3 linked regions of the Sus scrofa genome follow. The protein of the gene in region 2 purifies or fractionates together with the protein of the main gene of each other region. This does not show direct contact. Links are inferred from orthologs where the notes say so. Each region holds a gene or a part of one and is shown on either strand. Other genes may lie near its edges.

The links.
Region 1: the proteins of PDHA1 (region 2) and RAB7A fractionate together in Homo sapiens (co-fractionation; 3 studies listed by BioGRID, with this or other methods). This does not show direct contact. The link is inferred for Sus scrofa from reciprocal best matches to the Homo sapiens genes PDHA1 and RAB7A.
Region 3: the proteins of PDHA1 (region 2) and OGDH fractionate together in Homo sapiens (co-fractionation; 3 studies listed by BioGRID). This does not show direct contact. The link is inferred for Sus scrofa from reciprocal best matches to the Homo sapiens genes PDHA1 and OGDH.

The regions. Positions count from the first base shown.
Region 1 is NC_010455.5:71,883,913-71,888,167, reverse strand, and holds the start of RAB7A (ras-related protein Rab-7a), read left to right. Parts: upstream 1-1,409; 5' UTR 1,410-1,546; intron 1,547-4,255.
Region 2 is NC_010461.5:15,706,392-15,710,036, forward strand, and holds part of PDHA1 (pyruvate dehydrogenase E1 component subunit alpha, somatic form, mitochondrial), read left to right. Parts: intron 1-629; coding exon 630-803; intron 804-1,558; coding exon 1,559-1,685; intron 1,686-3,551; coding exon 3,552-3,643; intron 3,644-3,645. UniProt on the Homo sapiens protein: The pyruvate dehydrogenase complex catalyzes the overall conversion of pyruvate to acetyl-CoA and CO(2), and thereby links the glycolytic pathway to the tricarboxylic cycle.
Region 3 is NC_010460.4:50,682,088-50,686,181, reverse strand, and holds the start of OGDH (2-oxoglutarate dehydrogenase, mitochondrial), read left to right. Parts: upstream 1-1,191; 5' UTR 1,192-1,302; intron 1,303-1,665; exon of another isoform or gene 1,666-1,885; intron 1,886-4,094. UniProt on the Homo sapiens protein: 2-oxoglutarate dehydrogenase (E1o) component of the 2-oxoglutarate dehydrogenase complex (OGDHC). Participates in the first step, rate limiting for the overall conversion of 2-oxoglutarate to succinyl-CoA and CO(2) catalyzed by the whole OGDHC.

The sequences.
Region 1 (4,255 bases), on a different chromosome or scaffold from region 2:
TGAGGTTGCGGGTTCGGTCCCTGCCCTGGCTCAGTGGGTTAACGATCCGGCGTTGCCGTGAGCTGTGGTGTAGGTTGCAGACGTGGCTCGGATCCTGTGTTGCTGTGGCTGTGGTATAGGCTGGTGGCTCCAGCTCCGATTGGACCCCTAGCCTGGGAACCTCCATATGCCGCGGGAGCGGCCCAAGAAATAGCAAAAAGACAAAAAAAAAAAAAGCCACATCAGATGGCAAAGAGAACACCAAAACTCTATGCTCATAACAACTTGGCTAGGTGGCCAGGACAGGGATCCTCTCTGCCCTAGCTTCATAGGTAAGTAAAAGACTGCCAAGGATAAGGGACCTACTTTTCCCAAGTTGTCTCCATTTTTGAGGCTGGATTAAGGCTTACTGTGGTAGCTGTGGTAACTGCTCAGTGTGTTGTAGCAATTATCATCATTACTATCATCCCAGATTCCCATTTTTCAGGCTGAAAGCCATTTCCTCACTTTTGGTGCAGAAGGGACAAAGATGCTTCTCGGTGCCTCCAGCCCATTCCCTCTGGTACTCCCCCTCTTCTTCCCTACCTCATCTCTTTCCTCCCCTGAGGGGCCTGGCCTTAGAAGCCCCAGTGTCTGTCCCAGGAGGCTGCAACAACTATGAGGGTTGGGCTCCGTTACTTTACCACCTTTTTTGCACACACCTGACAGGGAGAATGTGTAGCAGTTACAGTTAGTCAATCTCTCACCCCAAACTGTCCCCAATACCAGCTATTGGGGGACTTTGAGCCTTCCTCCCTGTCCTCACCTGTAAAACGAGCCTCATAGGGTTGTAGACCAAGTGGTACACATGCTGTAAGGGGTTGCTGTTCTTACTATTACGAGTGGGTAAGAAACGGAGATTTAAGGAGATACTGTGATTGGAAAACTCAGTCCTTGCAATTGCCCTGCCCATTAGATAACGTCACCCCATTTTATATAAAGGAGGGACCTCCGGGCCACCTCCACTAAGGTTGAATGGGGAGGGCAAGGTGGACGCTGTTTTCTCATCTGTAAATGGCAACAACAGCACGGGCCTTTCCGACACGGTGACTAACAGATCACCGAGCCCATCAAGCCATGCTGGCTCAGCACACAGCGCCCGCGCCAATGCCAATACACACGTTCCCAGGCCACCGCAGCCGCGCCCCAGCTCGGCTCACAGGTCCGGGCCACGCCCCCCGAGAAGACCCGGAAGCAGAGTCCCCCCGCAGGTCAAAGCTGGCGATGCTGCTCCTGTACCGCCGCCAGAGGGCATGAGCGCGGCCTTTGTTGGCTTGCACCTCGCCAGTTACGTCAGCGGCCGGTCGCGGAAATAGAGGGGTTTGCCGTACAAAATGGCGGCTGCCTATGGGGCGGTTCGGAACGCTGAGAAGCTGTTCTGTTTCTGGGACACGCGGCGATCCTGGCGTAGGGCTTGCAGCAGGCTTCTAGCCAAAGACGGCTCCCGCGGAATTTCCCGGCGCCTTTGTTGTCAGTAAGCGGCAGAAGGCACAAGATGGAGGCGTTGGCTGGGCGGCCGGAAATGAAAGTGAGCGGCGGCGTGTTTCCCTCCCCACCCGGCTCCCCCGCCCTCAGAGCGCCTCGTTGGGCCGCGAAGTCAGCAGTGACCCGGGGTCTGAGCTATGTCCCTCCTTTCTGAGGCGTGACCTGCCGCGAAAGGTACAGAGTGAGAAGCCGAGCCCAGGAAGTGTATGGGGGCCCACTGTTGCGGGCTTGGTGTTTTCCTTTAAGACTCACGGGGCCTCGGTCTCCTCGAGCGAAGACGCAAATCCCGAAACGTTCCATTGGGAACGACATGTGTAAGGCTCAGTGCGGGGCTCCAGGTTCGCAGGTTTTCTTCTCTGGCCGCGGGGTCGCCTCAGAGTGACGCTTAACCCAGGAGGCCTGCCGGGAGGTGGGGCGGCGGAGCGGGCTGCCTCTGAGCACAGCGTCGGGTCGGAGACCCTTTGCTTATTTAATTAATGTGAAACACATCCTGTGTAAGTTTAAAAAACACTTAATATCGGTGATATACACACAGCGTGGAACTTAACCATCTTAGTCGCTTTCGAGTGTGCAGTTCAGTGGCATTAAATACATCGCGTTGCTCTGTGATCAGGCTCTATATAAGTTCATTTTGCCGAAGACCGAAGCTCTGTACCCTTGAAAGGGTACCTCCACATTTGTCCCTCCCCAGTCCCTGGCAACCACCGTTCTTTCCTCATACAGGAGGCCTGGAGTGTTTGTCCTTTTGTGACTGGTGTGCATCACTGAGCATAAAGTCTTCAAGGTTCACTCGCGCTGTAGCACGCTCCTTTCTTTTTCAAGGCAGGTTGATGTTCTGTGGTTTTCACGAGCCCTGAAGGGTAGCGGAATAGCCACCCCAAGTGTGCCAACTTGGCACGCGGGTTGCTTTGAGCCAAAGGCAGTCAGTATCCAGCAATATGAGGGAAAGCCTGTAGCTCTCCCTTAACTGCCTAAAAGAATTTAAATAAGGACCAGACCAGAAAAAGCAATTACCAGAGAGAAACTTTTCTATCTAAAAGACTTACTTGGGGAGTTCCCGTCGTGGCGCAGTGGTTAACGAATCCCACTAGGAACCATGAGGTTGCAGGTTCGGTCCCTGGCCTTGCTCAGTGGGTTAACGATCCGGCGTTGCCGTGAGCTGTGGTGTAGGTTGCAGACGCAGCTCGGATCCCGCGTTGCTGTGGCTCTGGTGTAGGCCGGCGGCTCCAGCTCCGATTCGACCCCTAGCCTGGGAACCTCCATATGCCGCAGGAGCGGCCCAAAGAAATAGCAAAAAGACAAAAAATAAATAAATAAATCAAAATAAAATAAAATAAAAGACTTACATGCATGGCAGGACAAACATCTAATCACCAAGCCTCTGCCCTGCTCTTCTCTTCTTGTGAGTGGCCCTCCTCCCCTCTGAAGCTCCAGCCCCAACCCTTCCCTCAGCTCAGGAGGGCAGATAAGCCTCACTTGCCTGACTACCTTCTTATTTTTATAGGGCTCCCATACATATGAAATTAAGTTGGTTCCTTGCCTATTAATCTTTTTTATGACAATTTAACCATTAGACTAGCCAAAGAAATTAGAAAAATAGAAGGAAAATTTTTCCACCCTGACACCGCATTTTATTTATTCATCTGTTCGTAGACACCTGGTTTGCTTCTACTGTTTGCTACTGTGAATAACTCTGTGAACATAGGATGGACACACATTTTTACATGAACTAATATCCAGTAGGGTTGCAGAGAGGAGAGTATGATTTACATATTTAAATTTGATGAGGTAATTTTGAATCATAAATGAAACATTAAGCTGTTTACAAGATCACTATAAGATTTTAAATGTAGTCAGTCATTGTGCATTATGGGCCATGGCGTAGCCTGGTGATGGGACATGGATTTAAGGTGCTGTGGTGATTGTGGACCTCCCTTCAGCCCTGCCAGCAGGCTTGGGGGAATTTTGTGGATAATCTTACTTAGAGATGGCATCGAAAACCTAAGGAGTAGGTGCACAAATATAGGAATCAAAGATCCATAACAAAGGATTGTGAAGTGACATTTTGGAAGCATCTAAGGCCTGATTTATTCATATGTGAGGCGTGGGAAATTATGGTATTCGTCTTAAGGGGTTATTGTGGGGATAGCAGAGTCATGGTGGATAAAAGGCTCACCTGGCCAGTAATAAATGTTGGCCATGGTGTCTGTGGACATAAAAAAATGTTCATAGTGTGCAATTAATTTTTTTTTTTTTTTTTTGGCTGCACCCAAGGCATATGGAAGTTCCCTGGCCAGGGATTGAATCTGTCACCAAAGCATCAGACCGACCCTGCCCACCCACCCCCACTGCAGTGACAACTGCACCACATGAGAACTCCCTGCAATTAATTTTTAAAAGGCAGTACATCTGGGTGAAGGGTACATGGGGATTCTTTTTACTATCTTTGCAACTTTTCTGTTTATGTCAAAATAAGTTTAAAAAACACATTAAAATAGCATGTAAAATGGAAAACAATTTTGAGGAAAAATTTTTGCCCACAAAAAAGACTTGATATTTTTATATCAAACATGCTAATCATGGAGTTCCTGTGTGGCTCAGCAGTAATGAATCCAACTGGTATCCATGAGGACTCAGGTTGGATCCCTGGCCTTGCTTAGTGGGTGAAAGGATCCAGTATTGCCATGAGCTATGGTGTAGGTTGCAGACTCGGCTTGGATCTGGCCTTGCTGTGGCTGGATTTAGGCTGGCA
Region 2 (3,645 bases):
CACCATAGCCACAAGCAAGGAGGGATCCGAGCTGCGTCTGCATCCTACACCATAGCTCACGGCAACGCCGGGTCCTTAACCTACTGAGCGAGGCCAGGGATCAAACCTGCAACCTCACGGTTCCTAGTCGGATTCGTTAACCACTGAGCCATGACGGGAACTCCAAGACTTATTCTAAAGTTTAAAATGTGATTTTTGGGGAGTTCCCTGGTGGCTGAGTGGGTTAAGGATCTGGGATCACTGCTGTGGCATGGGTTCGATCCCTGGCCTGGGAACTTTTCTATGTCACAGGCATGTGTCTCTTCCCCCCACCCCATGTGATTTGGTAAACTATTTGAATAAGAAGATTCTTAGAATGCTTCTTTGGAAGTTTGTCTTTCAGCCTATAACTCAGTTGATTTCTAGAGGTTTTCAGTGAAAGTCCTCTGGAAAGATTTCCTTCCTCCCAAACTCCATCCCATTGCACGGTCAGTTTTCTGATTTAAGGAGTCAGGAGCAATATGCCACATTTCTGATGAGCTCATCTGCTAGTTTTCAAGTTAAACATTTACATTAGAGTTAGATCTTAGAATGAGTTGGCAGTGTTAATAGTGAAGTGATTGGGAGATAATTGTCTGATTGTGTTTCAGAAATGTGATCTTCACCGGCTGGAAGAGGGCCCACCTGTCACCACGGTGCTCACCAGGGAGGATGGGCTCAAGTACTACAGGATGATGCAGACTGTTCGCCGAATGGAGTTAAAAGCAGATCAGCTCTATAAACAGAAAATTATTCGTGGTTTCTGTCACTTGTGTGATGGTCAGGTGAGTGAGAGTTACGTAGTAAAACTGTTATTTAGGAATTGTAGTATGCTATGTATTGGCTCTTATCCTGCCTTTTGTGTCTGAAGGATTTGAGGCTGGTACTTTAGAATAAAAATGAGGCCTGCTATGAAGCTTTTGCTAAAGTCACATGTTACTTTGCTGATTTCCTATGCCACTGTGGCATTGTGAGCACGTGTACTGGATATGCTTTTGGAGCCAAGGGGTTTTGCTTTGTTTTTGATTTGTTTTGTGGGTTTAGGCCAAGGGTTACAAAATCATGTCTGCCAGGGACCATTTAGGTAGAATAAATGAGTGAAGCCTGTCAGCTCTACAAAGAATGGAGAATGGTGACAAGGACTGGTGGTGAACTGGAACATAGAGGCCCCGTGCAGGGGAAGTTCTAACTTGGTTCTAGCCAGTTGGTGCCATGTGGTACGGGCTAATGCTTCTAATCGTTTTTGTCTTCAAGAGAAGACAGAACTCTCCATTTTCATGTGAAACTCACACAATATTTTAATGTTGACATCTGATTTAGGACATTTTTCAAATTATCACGCAGACTTAAAACAGCGTATCTGTACATATGGCTCTGGCTTGGGCTTTATCCTCTACTCTATTTCTGATGAAAAATAGAGCCACTTGTGGTTATTACTAAAGGGTTCTACTAGGCCAGATGTTTCATAATAGTCTGGGAAATACTTTATCTAGAAATGGGTACTGTAATTGACTCATTGCTGCTGCTTGCTTGAATACAGGAAGCTTGTTGCGTGGGCCTGGAGGCTGGCATAAACCCTACGGACCATCTGATCACAGCCTACCGAGCTCATGGCTTTACCTTTACTCGTGGGCTTTCTGTCCGGGAAATTCTTGCGGAACTTACAGGTATGCTGTTAATTTACAAAAGGGGGAGTTGGTGAAATTAAGTTTCCCTATTAAGATGCTAACTGTTTATAAGTTAACAATAAAACTTTTTTTGAAGTAAAAGAAAAAATACTTAACCAAAAAAGCCTCTCCCTTTTGGTGCCCTATTGTGCTTTTGAGTAAACTGACCATTTTTGAGGTTATCTGGCCTTTCAGGTAAAAGATCAGCTCTAGGGAGTTCTTGTTGTGGCACAGTGGAAACGAATCCGACTAGTATCCATAAGGATATGGGTTTGATTCCTGGCCTCGCTCAGTGGGTTGGGTGTCCGGTATTGCTGTGAGCTGTGGTATAGGTTGCAGACATGGCTTGGATCCTCCGGCATTGCTGTGGCTGTGGTGTAGGCCAGCAGTCGTAGCTCTGATTTGACCCCTAGCCTGAGAACTTCCATATGCCACGGGTGCCACTCGAAAAAGACAAAAAAAAAAAAAAAAAAAAAAAAAAAATCAGCTTTATAAAATCAGAATAGCATATATCATTCAAGCCTGCCAGCAGAAATCTGGTAGTCAAAATAAATTGAGAATAAGCATTTTATTGTATGCAGGTTAAATTCTGGGAATCGTAATGTTCCCCTTGTGTTAAACCATTGTAACAGTATAGGAGGAATCAGAAGATGTTTGTAACTAGCAAAAAAAAAAAGAAGGGAAAAGCAGTCCAGGGTACCATGCTATCATCCTATATCATTGAATTGGTCTCTCTTGGTTGAGCCTCTAAGTAAACACTCGGGGTATGGTTTTGTTTGTTGTTTTTGTTGGGTTTTGTTTGTTGGTTTTAACTTGTGACATACGGAAGTTCCCAGGCTAAGGGTCAGAATTGGAGCTGCTGCTGAGACCTACAGCACAGCCATGGCAACATCAGATCCTTAATCCACTGAGTGAGGCCAGGGATTGAACTTGCATCTTCACAGAGACAACATCGGGTCTTTAACCCGGTTAGCCACAACGAGAACGCCTGTTTGTTTTATTTTATTTTTATTTTATTATTATTATTTTTTTAATAGTTATTTCCACAGTACCTTTTTTTTTCTACTGTACAGCATGGTGACCCAGTTACACATACATGTACACATTCTATTTTCACACATTTTCATGTTCCATCAGAAGTGACCAGGAGTTCCCGTCGTGGCGCAGTGGTTAACAAATCCGACTAGGAACCATGAGGTTGCGGGTTCGGTCCCTGCCCTTGCTCAGTGGGTTAACGATCCGGCGTTGCCGTGAGCTGTGGTGTAGGTTGCAGACGCGGCTCGGATCCTGCGTTGCTGTGGCTCTGGCGTAGGCTAGTGGCTACAGCTCCGATTCGACCCCCTAGCCTGGGAACCTCCATATGCCACGGGAGCGGCCCAAAGAAATAGCAAAAAGACAAAAAAAAAAAAAAAAAGTGACCAGACATAGTTCCCAGTGCTACACAGCAGGATCTCATTGCTTATCCATTCCAAAGGCAATAGTTTGTATCTATTAACCCCAAGCTCCCCAACCACTCCACTCCCTCCCCCTCGGCAACCACAAGTCTCTTCTCCAAGTCCATGATTTTCTTTTCTGTGGAAAGGTTCATTTGTGCTTTATATTAGATTCCAGATATAAGTGATATCATATATGGTATTTGTCTCTCTGACTTACTTCACTCAGTATGAGAGTCTCTAGTTCCATCCATGTTGCTGCAAATGGCATTATTTCGTTCTTTTTGATGGCTGAGTAGTATTCCATTGCGTATATATTACCACATCTTCCTAATCCAGTTGTCTGTGGATGGACATTTGGGTTGTTTCCATGTCCTGGCTCTTGTTTTATATATTGGTTTCTGGTGTGTTACGTGTCTATTGCCATTTCTAGGACGAAGAGGAGGTTGTGGTAAAGGAAAAGGAGGATCGATGCATATGTATGCCAAGAACTTCTACGGGGGCAATGGCATTGTGGGAGCTCAGGT
Region 3 (4,094 bases), on a different chromosome or scaffold from region 2:
AAAGATATGTTATCATGATATGAAGCTTTCTTCTTGCTGTAATGAAAACTGAAGAAATCTTGAATAAGGACTGAAGTAAGGGCTTCCTCAGTATGTGATTGAATACAGCCTACCATGCTTCATCAGTTCTGAGTTGCTTTTTCTCGTTGTGAACTACAGTTGCCTCTGACTGTGAACTGGAGATTGGCACTTGCCATCTGCCTCTGCAGAGCTTGACTCATGAGCCACTGCAGCTGCTGACCCTCCACAGCCCCTTCGAGGAGCTCAGGGGGGAGCTCAGGAATGAGGCACTTTGTGCTCTGGAAAAACTGGCAGAACAGGTCTTCAGATGGTTAGATACTTTCAGAAAAAGATTTTATGAGCCCGGTTCGTGCATCTCCTCATAGCTAGAAAAGCACTGAAATCCTTCATGGTGACGTCTGCTCCTCCTGTCGAGCAGTAACCCTCAGACTTCTGTAAAACGTGTGCTGGGTAGCATGTACCTCCCTCCTCACCAAAACCACATGTATGCTGACATTTCCCTCCCTCCTTGCAGCGGTATCTCAGAGCTAACTGCAACAGCTGCCTCCCCAGTTGTAGCCCTCATTTCGTCCGCAATAAAACTTAACACTCAACCTTCAGGTTGTGCGTATTTTTCAGGTCAACTTTAAGATGGAGCTATCCTAACCCTTTTTTTTTTCTCTCTTTCTTATCAGGTCGGTATCACACTTGTGAGCAGGTGGCAAAGTAATATAACCTCTTAAAGCAGACGACCGCTTTTAGTCCATGAAATGATACACCCGTCCATGCACCAAGTGAAGACCCAGGAGTCCCACTTGGGAAACCCTTAGGTCAGCGCTGGGCCCCCCTGATTCTCACTCCGCCCGGCCGCTGCCCCGCAGCGCTCAGTCATGCAGTGCTGACCAAGGTTCCTCTCAGTCTGACAATACAGGCCAGGTCAGCTTAGCTCTGATCAGAGGACGCCTAAAAGCCCACTGCAGGAGGCATTACTAGGCAACGCGAAGACCCTCTTTTTCAAAAGACCCGGCATTCAGGCCGGTGGGGACCAATCCAGGCACCGCTTAGCTGTGGCCCCGGACGCACAGCCAGGCCCAGCGAGGTGCCCGAACCGAGCACAAGAGCGCCGCGGGCGCAACTCTGTGACGTCAAGCCCCGGCCCGCCCTGCTCACTGGGCAGAGGCGGCCCCTTTCTTCCCAGGGCGGGGCGGCGTGCTGACGCCACACGCCGGGGCGTGGCCGAGAGTTTAGTACCCCGGAGTGGGGTGTCGGCGCCTCATTCGGGTGGAGCTGAGCCGAAGACAGGTAGGCGCGCGCTGCCGCCGGGCCTCGCTGGGTTTGGGAGGTTCCGTGCTGGTGGGGCAGGAGGCGGGGGTCACGGCTGAGGACAAGGCCGCTGCGCTCTCGTTGTCGCTGGCTCCCTGATGACAGGGAGTGAAGCTGGCTGGAGCAGGGCGTACTGGGGGAGGTGGGTGGGACGGGGCCTGACGGACGGGCGTGGCAGCCAATGGTGCGCTGGGCGCCTGCAGGCGGGCGGAGATTGGCGGGTGCGGGCGTGCGCGGAAGTTGCGCGGGGCGCGGAGCGGCGCCCCATTGGTGGAGGCGGAGGCGGGGGTGGGCCGCGCGGCGGATGTGAGAGAACGGGCGCCGCTGCCGGGGTGACCCCCAAGGTCGAGGAGGCGTCACGTGGGAGTCACCCGGCAGTGTCCTCTGCCCGCCTGGACGGATGGAAGGGTGGCGCGCCCTTGAAGAAGCGGCTGCGAATTGTGGGCAGTACGCCTTTCCCACAGCGTGGACGGCACGGGTCGGCTTCTGATCGGACTGTCCCTACGCTCCTGGGGTGAACCCTTGAGGGACGGATTACCCCGCAGGCCCCCCACTCTCCCCTGTAAGCCTCCCTGTATTCTTTGGGGTGACGCCGTACTCAGTAGCCTACAATACTCAGCACCCCTTCTTACTCTCCTCCCTGCACTCCTGGGGTGAGGTCTTAAGTGGATCACCCTGCAGTATCCGCAGTATTCAATACTCCACCGTACCCATCCTCTCTGCTCACTCTTGGGGTGGACCCTTGAGTGATTACCCGCAGCACCCACTGTATTCGTCACCTCCACGGTACTCAGTAAGTACCGCACTGTTGAGCACCACACCACACCTTCTTTCTCTGTGCTCCTCAGGTTGATGCCCTGGATGAGTGGATTGTTCTGCAACACACTGCTGTACTCGGTATCCCTCCTTACTCATGTTTGTACCAGACCTCCCTGTGAGCTCTTTAGGGTGGTACCCTTGAGTAGACTACCCTGCAGTACCCTACCGTACTCAGTACCCCCACCATACTCCTCCTTCCAGGTGTTTGATAGCTCATGTTGCAATGAAGGATATCTCTTGGAGGAACATACTAATCCGTGCACCCTTCCCCTTTGGCAAAGCTCCCTGACCTCAGTGCAGATTGTGTACTGAGACAGTAGAAAAGACTGCGTAGATAAGAACCTGCTATCTCTGCCCTTTGCCCAGAACAGGGGAGCGGTGACTCAGGCCCAAGGAATGAACAATGTCTTGGGGTTTCTTGTGCCTTGTTTTGCAGTCCTGTACTTTGAAGCGAGGGCCAGAGACCCACTTCCAGGTATAGTGCTCTGAGCAGTGTTAGGATGAACGGCCTAGGTTGAAGCCTTGTTGGCACTGTGGCAGGAGGTGAAACAGTCAAACCACAGTTTTTTGTGGAAGACCTTCGCTGTGTGATGATACATAATACTGTTCTACCTTTGCAAGTTAGCCCTGGACTAGATCTTGGAAAGATGGAGAAAGATCGGAGTATCCTGATGATTATTTTGAGAGCATTTTCTTGATGGCTAGTGATATTGAGTGTCTTTTCATGTGTTTATTTGCAGTCCCTATACCTTCTTCAGTCAAATGTCTGTTCTGATCGTGTGTGTGTGTGTGTGTGTGTGTGTGTTTTAGCCACCTCTGGGCCGGGGATTGAACCCAAACCACAGCAGTGACAATGCTGAGTCCTTACATGCTAGGCCACTGAGGAACTCCATCTTTTGCCCATTTTGTAATTGGATCCTTTGCCTTTTTAAAATTTTTTTTTTTTTGAGGCGTTCCCGTCAGGGCGCAGTGGAACCGAATCCGACTAGGAACCATGAGGTTGCGAGTTCTATCCCTGGCCTCGCTTAGTGGGTTAAGGATCCAGCGTTGCCTTGAGCTGTGGTGTAGGTCACAGACATGGCTCGGATCCGGAGTTGCTGTGGCTGTGGTGTAGGCTGGCAGCTGTAGCTCCTATTGGACCTCTAGCCTGGGAACCTCCGATGCCGCAAGTGCGACCCTAAAAAAAAAAAAAAGCAAAGAAAAAAATTTTTTTTTCTTTTGAGAATTTCTTAAACATTCTAGTCCTTGGTTGGGTATGTGGTTTGCAGATATTTTCTACAGTCTGTAGCTTGTCTTTTCATCGTAACAGGGTCTTTTGCAGAGCAAAAGTTCTTAATTTTGGCAAAGTCCTGTTTATGAATTTTGTCTTTTATACTTTGTGCTTTTAGCATCAAGTTAAGGACTCTGCCTAGCTCTAGTTCCTGAGATTTTTTTTTTTTATCTTACATATTTTTCTAACAGTTTTATAGTTTTGTGTTGTACATTTAAATTTATAATCCATTTCAGTTGATTCCTCTATAAGGTATGAAGTCTAGTTTGAGTGGTCTCTTTCTTTTTCTTTCATTCTTTTTCTTTCCTTTTTTTTATTTTTTATTTATAAGCAAATTTATTTATAAATAAATACAAATTTGTTTGTAAATAAATATAAGTTTATTTATTTTTATCGCTACGCCTGTGGTATATGGATATTCTTGGGCCAGGGATCAAATCCGAGTCACAATAGTGACCTATGACACAGCTGTGGCCATGCTGGACCCTTTAACTCACTGGACTGGGCTGGGGAATGAGCCCACACCTCCACAGCAACCTGAGCCACTGCAGTTGGATCCTTAACCTAGTGCGTCACAGCAGGGACTCCTCTTTTTCTTTTCTTTCCTCTTTTTTTTTTTTTTAACCGTCTGTGGATGTCCAGCTGGCAGCATTTGTTGAAAAACTGTTCCTCCTCCATTGAA